Linked DNA regions of Anolis sagrei. The protein of the gene in region 2 interacts with the protein of the main gene of each other region in a pairwise test. Links are inferred from orthologs where the notes say so. Each region holds a gene or a part of one and is shown on either strand. Other genes may lie near its edges.

The links. The genes of interacting proteins can lie anywhere in the genome.
Region 1: the proteins of DTX2 (region 2) and EIF4ENIF1 interact in binary tests that used the Homo sapiens proteins (3 or more experiments, as listed by UniProt). The two-hybrid records come from large-scale screens. The link is inferred for Anolis sagrei from reciprocal best matches to the Homo sapiens genes DTX2 and EIF4ENIF1.

The regions. Positions count from the first base shown.
Region 1 is NC_090034.1:49,410,733-49,414,490, reverse strand, and holds the start of EIF4ENIF1 (eukaryotic translation initiation factor 4E transporter), read right to left. Parts: upstream 2,189-3,758; 5' UTR 1,820-2,188; intron 1-1,819. Other genes in the region: protein SFI1 homolog, read left to right, coding at 2,823-2,849. UniProt on the Homo sapiens protein: EIF4E-binding protein that regulates translation and stability of mRNAs in processing bodies (P-bodies). Plays a key role in P-bodies to coordinate the storage of translationally inactive mRNAs in the cytoplasm and prevent their degradation.
Region 2 is NC_090031.1:32,855,790-32,859,547, forward strand, and holds the start of DTX2 (probable E3 ubiquitin-protein ligase DTX2), read right to left. Parts: upstream 2,883-3,758; 5' UTR 2,785-2,882; intron 1,078-2,784; 5' UTR 1,010-1,077; coding exon 721-1,009; intron 1-720. UniProt on the Homo sapiens protein: Regulator of Notch signaling, a signaling pathway involved in cell-cell communications that regulates a broad spectrum of cell-fate determinations.

The DNA.
Region 1 (3,758 bases), on a different chromosome or scaffold from region 2:
TATGATGTTAACTGTTTTTTATACCGTGTTATGGTAGCATTGAATTTTTGCTGTTCTTGTTGTTAACCGCTGTGAGTCGCCTAAGGGCTGAGAACAGCGGTATACAAATAAAGTAAATAAATAAATAAAGTAAATAAATATTAATAATAAATATATAAATAGAATATATATATATATATATATATATATATACATACACACATATATATAAATAGAATAGAATATAAATGGGGTTTATATATCTGTGGAAAGACCAGGGTGGGACAAAGGACTCTTGTCTGTTGGAGCCAGGTGTGAATGTTTCAACTGACCACCTTGATTAGCATTTGATTGCCTGGCAGAGCCTGGAGCAATCCTTCGTTGAGAGGTGATTAGATGTCCTTGTTTGTTTCCTCTCTGTCGCTGTGCTGTTCTATAATAATAATAATGGCTATTGGTGTTAATTGTGTATTGTTGTTAATTGTATACTTTTCTATAATATGATGTTAACTGTTTTTTATACCGTGTAATGGTAGCATTGAATTTTTGCTGTTCTTGTTGTTAACCGCTGTGAGTCGCCTAAGGGCTGAGAACAGCGGTATACAAATAAAGTAAATAAATAAATAAAGTAAATAAATATTAATAATAAATATATAAATAGAATATATATATATATATATATACATACACACATATATATAAATAGAATAGAATATAAATGGGGTTTATATATCTGTGGAAAGACCAGGGTGGGACAAAGGACTCTTGTCTGTTGGAGCCAGGTGTGAATGTTTCAACTGACCACCTTGATTAGCATTTGATTGCCTGGCAGAGCCTGGAGCAATCCTTCGTTGAGAGGTGATTAGACGTCCTTGTTTGTTTCCTCTCTGTCGTTGTGCTGTACTATAATAATAATAATGGCTATTGGTGTTAATTGTATATTGTTGTTAATTGTATACTTTTCTATAATATGTTATGATGTTAACTGTTTTTTATACCGTGTTATGGTAGCATTGAATTTTTGCTGTTCTAGTTGTTAACCGCTGTGAGTCGCCTAAGGGCTGAGAACAGCGGTATACAAATAAAGTAAATAAATAATAATAATAATATATAAATAGAATATATATATATATATATATATATAGAATAGAATATAAATGGGGTTTATATATCTGTGGAAAGACCAGGGTGGGACAAAGAACTTTTCTCTGTTGGAGCTAAGACAGAATATATAGAATAGAGTAGAATAACAACAATTCTGTTCTATAATAATAATAATGGCTATTGGTGTTAATTGTATATTGTTGTTAATTGTATACCTTTCTATAATATGTTATGATGTTAACTGTTTTTTATACCGTGTTATGGTAGCATTGAATTTTTGCTGTTCTTGTTGTTAACTGCTGTGAGTCGCCTAAGGGCTGAGAACAGCGGGATATAAATAAAGTAAATAAATAAATAAAGTAATTAAATAATAATAATATATAAATAGAATATATATATATATATATATATATATATATATAATAGTATATAAATGGGGTTTATATATCTGTGGAAAGACCAGGGTGGGACAAAGAACTCTTGTCTGTTGGAGCTATGACAGAATATATAGAATAGAGTAGAATAACAACAATAAAATAATATAATACTGTATTAATAGCTGAATATAATGGTAGATAATAATAGAACATAGAACATAATAGTAAAATAATAGGAATAGTATTACATAATAATAGAAGAAAATATTAATAATATTAGAGAATATTACTAGAACAGAATAATAATGGGATAATAGATTCTGCTCTTCTTCTGCCTCTTCCCATACCATAGAGCCTACCTGGGCTGTGGTCTAGAGAGGCCCCCTGCGCGGGCGCGCGACCTGCGGGGTCCTCCGGAGCCTGCCCGGGAGCGCTGCTCTGCTTCTGCTTGGCCTTCTGCTCCTCCTTTCTCTTCGGGATCCGCCATCAACCGAAAGAAGGCAGGCAGGAAAGAAGGAAGGAAGGCTCCGCGCCCCGCCCCCCGTCCCCTTTTAATGCCCGCCGCGCAGGCGCCGATGACGGCGGCCTGCCGGGGACACACCGGAAGATCAGGCGCCGTTGGTGGGCAGAAGTCTCCTTTCCGCGCAGGCGCGTCGCTGTCCGCCCCCCCCTCCCCGCGCGCTCTTTCGCTCATTCCCTTTGGGCACGCGCAGCACACGCCTCTCGCCTCAGCGTTCTCCCTTTTGCGCATGCGCGTCACTGCTATCGCTTGCTTCCTCGCTCATTCCCCGTGCACATGCGCAGCACGGCCCTCATGTCCAAGGGCTTGCCTCTCAGCTGCACACGCGCAGCGTAATCCTCTCCCTCTGCGTTCTGCCTTTTGCGCACGCGCGGCACTGTTTTGCCCCTTCTCTCGCTTCTTCCCATTGCGCATGTGCTCTCGCCTTAGCGACTGAACGCCTCTCTCGAAAGACATCGTGCGCATGCGCAAACTCCCAACCGCTTTCCTATCGGAGGACCCCACTTTTGGACAGCCTTGTTCGAGGTGCCCTCCGTGTTCGCCTGACGGTTTCGCTACGTCGCCATAGCAACCCTAGCTAGGTGAAAGCGCGGTTTTTTTTTCATAGTGCGGACACGATTGCTAAAGTCTTACTCTAACAAGTTTCTTGTATAAGGAAAGGGAAAGGGATTGCTTTAGGCGTTTGTGATAGACAGTTGGACTCTCCGAGTTTGAATTCGTTGGAAGGAGGGAGGCCTTGTGAGCTATTTCTCCAATTAAATTAGTATTGGGTTGTTGTAGGTTTTTCCGGGCTATATGGCCATGTTCTAAAGGCATTTTCTCCTGACGTTTCGCCTGCATCTATGGCAAGCATCCTCACAGGTTGTGAGGTCTGTTGGAACTAGGAAAAAGGGTTTATATACCTGTGGAATGACCAGGGTGGGACAAAGGACTCTTGTCTGCTGGAGCTAGGTGTGAATGTTTCAACTGACCACCTTGATTAGCATATAATGGCCTGACAGTGCCTAGAGCAAACTTTTGTTGAGGTGGTCATTATTATTATTATTATTATTGTTATTATTATAGATAGATAGAGGTATGGATACATTATTTAAATATTTTAAAAACAAAGTTTTAAACGAATTTAGTAAACCTTTACTAATATTAAAGTGCATTTGTCTTTAATGGTTTAAAGAATAATGTTAATATTACGTATTTTATCATTTTTAAATATTAATTAGTATTCATATTTAATTCTTATTAAATATTGTTAGATTGTTACTATGTGTATAAACCGATTCTCCAGTATTGGAGTTCAATATTCTATATTTTATTCTTATTAAATATTATTAAAATATTTATTTTATTATTGTTGTTTTTAAATTTTAAATCAATTATATTTAATTTATTTGTTTATTATTTTATTTATTATTAAATATTAATAAATGCTTTTAATATTATTTTATTTATTTATTTATCAATATTTTATTGATTCTTATTCATATTTATTATTTATTAAATGTATTATTATTATTTGTTATTAAATATTATTAGATTTTTACTATGTATATAAACTGATTCTTTATTTATTTATTTATTTCATGGCTCAGGGCGGCCTCACACAAGCACCATACGATGTCAACAAATAAACAATTCGAAGTACAATTAAAGCATTAAAAACCATTAAAACACTAAAAATAATTCAAGCCCATTATACAGTTCATTAGACAGTAGATTATACATGCCGGTAAAACCAAAAAAGTCAGATTCAATGTCATAAATATCCTAAAATCTCTATG
Region 2 (3,758 bases):
GGTGTATAAAGGGTTTCTAGGGCGAGTGCGATGTGCAATGTGCAGCAGTCATTGGTTCTGATAAAGTGCTTGTGGGACTCGGTAGTGGAGGTTTCCTAATCTGGGAAGGTGCATCGGAAAAGCCAGGTTTTTAAGTTCTTTCTGAAAATAGCCAATGAAGGGGCCTGTCTAAGGTCTTTGGGGAGGGTGTTCCAGAGTTGGGGGGCCACCACGGAGAAGGCCCTGTCCCGCGTCCCCACCAAGCGTGCTTGCGACGCCTGTGGGATCACGAGCAGGGCCTCTCCTAATGACTGAAGAGAACGTGTGGGTTCATAGATGGAAATGCGGTCATGCAGGTAGGCTGGTCCCAAACCGTTCAGGGCTTTGTAGGTAAGCACCTGCACCTTGAATTGAGCTCGGAATATAAACGGCAGCCAGTGGAGTTCCTTAAACAGGAGGGTTGACCTCTCTCTGTAAGGGGCCCCAGTTAACATCCTGGCTGCTGATCGTTGGACCAGTTGGAGCTTCCGAGCCGTCTTCAAGGGCAGCCCCACGTAGAGCGCATTGCAGTAATCCAATCTGGAGGTGACCAAGGCATGGACCACTCCGGCCAGATCCGCCTTTGCTCTATTATTACTGTTACTGCATTTCCATTTTTTTACTCAGCAGGCGAACCATCAACACGCACAAGTCACACTGTTTACCGATTGGCTAGGAGATGGAAGTCCCTGTGGACATTACCTGTATCTTGTCGGAACTGCGTCAAACTGGGGATGTCGATGACGTAGGGGGCCAAAGCAGGGTCCGCTTGCCCCAGGGGGATGCTGCCTTGCAAGGGCCAGGTCCCCAGCGAGCGCCGGCCCTTTGCCGCCAGGGCTTGGAAGGACTGCTCGATGTAGCAGCACACCCCACTGCAGTACGGCCTCCAGCGCCCACACTCGTCCTGCCACTCCCACACCGCGGCCCCCGGGTCCGGCGGAGGAAGAGGAGGAGGCCCGACAGAGGTCCCTGGCAAGGCGGCCATTTTCATACCACCACTTGAACCACGGAGTCTTCGGGACTTCAAAGCATCGCCGCATCAACATTCATCTTCGACGTCTAGAAGCAGAACAGGGAAAAGGAAGGAAAGGCCAAGCGTGACACTCCATCCGCGAGAGAATTTTCTCCCTGCAGGAGATCCCGAGTTCGCCCTCCACACACAGTTATTACATGATTTTTGTTCCTGTGCTACCAATGTTGTTTCCTAATTGGTTCTATCATAAAGTCATGGGAAAACGTTGATCCAACTGCCAAAACTTTGTTGTTGCAAGAGAGACATCCTGCAGCACATTTTGCGACAGTTTTTCTATAAATATCTCAACACAGAGTCTCAACCGATTCAACCCGAACGACACTGCCACACAATGGAATGGCTAAAACACCAAAGTCAAAATATTATCAGAATTTAAGTTATTCAGCCAGAAATTGAAAAGAATCGTATAGGCTCTTTATTATTATTATTATTATTATTATTATTATTATTACTATTTGATTAATACATCTGTACTGCAGAGCTAAGGCAGTTGGATATATATATATATATATATATATTACATTACAGTAGCATTATAATGCTACTGTAATGTAATATATATATATATATATATAAATATATATATATATATTACATTACAGTAGCATTATAATAAATTATAACAATATTATAATATATAATAATATGATATATAATATTAATTTAATAATTACTATTACTATTTGATTAATACATCTGTACTGCAGAGCTAAGGCAGTTGAATATATATATATATATATATATATACACATATATAATAGTAACATAATAAATTATAATAATATTATAATATATAATAATAATATAATATATAGTAATATTAATTTAATAATAATAATTACTATTTGATTAATACATCTGTACCGAAGAGATAAGGCAGTTGGATATATTATATATATATATGTACATATATTATAGTAATATTATAATAAATTATAACAATATAATATAATAATATGATATATAATATTAATTTAATAATTATTATTATTACCATTTGATTAATACATCTGTACTGCAGAGCTAAGGCAGTTGGATATTTTATATATATATATATATATATATATATATATATACACACACACACACATATTATAGTAGCATTATAATAAATTATAACAATATTATAATATATAATAATATTAATTTAATAATAATAATAATAATAATTACTATTTGATTAATACATCTGTACTGCAGAGCTAAGGCAGTTGGATAATATATATATATATACACACACACACATACATACCCACATATATAAAAGTGTTATAATATAAATTATAACAATATTATAATATATAATAATAATATTAATATATAATATTAATTTAATAATAATAATTACTATTTGATTAATACATCTGTACTGCAGAGCTAAGGCAGTTGGATATATATATATATATATATATTAGTAACATTATAATAAATTATAAAAATATTATAATATATAATATATAATATTAATTTAATAATAATAATTACCATTTGATTAATCCATCTGTGCTGCAGAGCTAAGGCAGCTGGATCCCTGTTTCACAGGCCTGCTGGCTCAAGGCTCCTGGGTGCTGGGAGTTGTAGTTTGCCAAGGCCTTGGGCCTTTCCCCACCGAAGAGAGGCCTGTTGCCTCTCCCAAACTACAAATCCCAGGATCCTGAGGCAGCCCCAGTGGGGCCTTCTCCCCGCTGCGGCCCGCCCCGAACTACAACTCCCACCCCCCGCAGGCCCCTCACCTTCCCTCTGCCTGTTGCCAAGGAAGCGCCTCTCCAAACTCCCTGGGCCTCCTTCTCCAACGGCGGAAGTGCCGGGGCGCCCACTGCGCATGCGCGCGCTCCTTCCGTTCCCGAAGGGCGCATGCGCATCCGAAATCGCGGTGCCTGATGGGAAAAGAGGCGCAAAATGGCGTCGGTTTGGTTTCCTTTTCAGGCCTAAGAAGTTCCTGAGCCAGGAAAGAGACATTAGAGAAGGCCCACACGAGCAGGGATGGTCTGCCCAAAACAAGACGCTTTTGAGCCAGGAAAGAGACATTAGAGAAGGGCCACATTAGTCCAGAAGGTCTAATGAGGACTCCCATGTTCTTCAGTGGGAGCTTGAGTGGAATTCCTCTCATTTAGGAAAGAGGAAAAGGCAGAGGAAGGAGAGACCCAATTACCAATATCCAGATCCTGGAGAATGGAGAAAGGCAGGGAGTTTCAGAAAAACATCTACTTCTGCTTCATTGACTATTCTAAAGCCTTTGACTGTGTGGATAAGAAAAGGCAAAAGCTGCACATCGCAAGTGCTGAACCTGACTCAGCACATAGAAGATGGCTTTGAAAGGCAGCAGATCACAGGAGCTGTCTTCATAGACCTGTCAGCAGCCTATGATACTGTGAACCACCACCGCCTCCTCCTGAGAAAAATGTATAATATCACCAAGGACGACCACCTCACCCGCCTCATAGGAAACCTGCTACAAAACAGGAGCTTTTTTGTTGAGTTCCAGGTCCAGAGAAGCAGATGGCGGAAACAGAAGAACGGCCTGCCTCAGGGGAGTGTACTTGCCCCATCCATGTTCAACATTTACACAAATGACCAGCCACTGCCAGAAGGGACGGAGAGCTTCATCTATGCTGATGATCGTGCCATCACCGCTCAAGCAGGGAGCTTTGAGATGGTTCAACAGAAGCTCTCTGAAGCTCTAGGTGCTCTTACTGCCTATTACAGG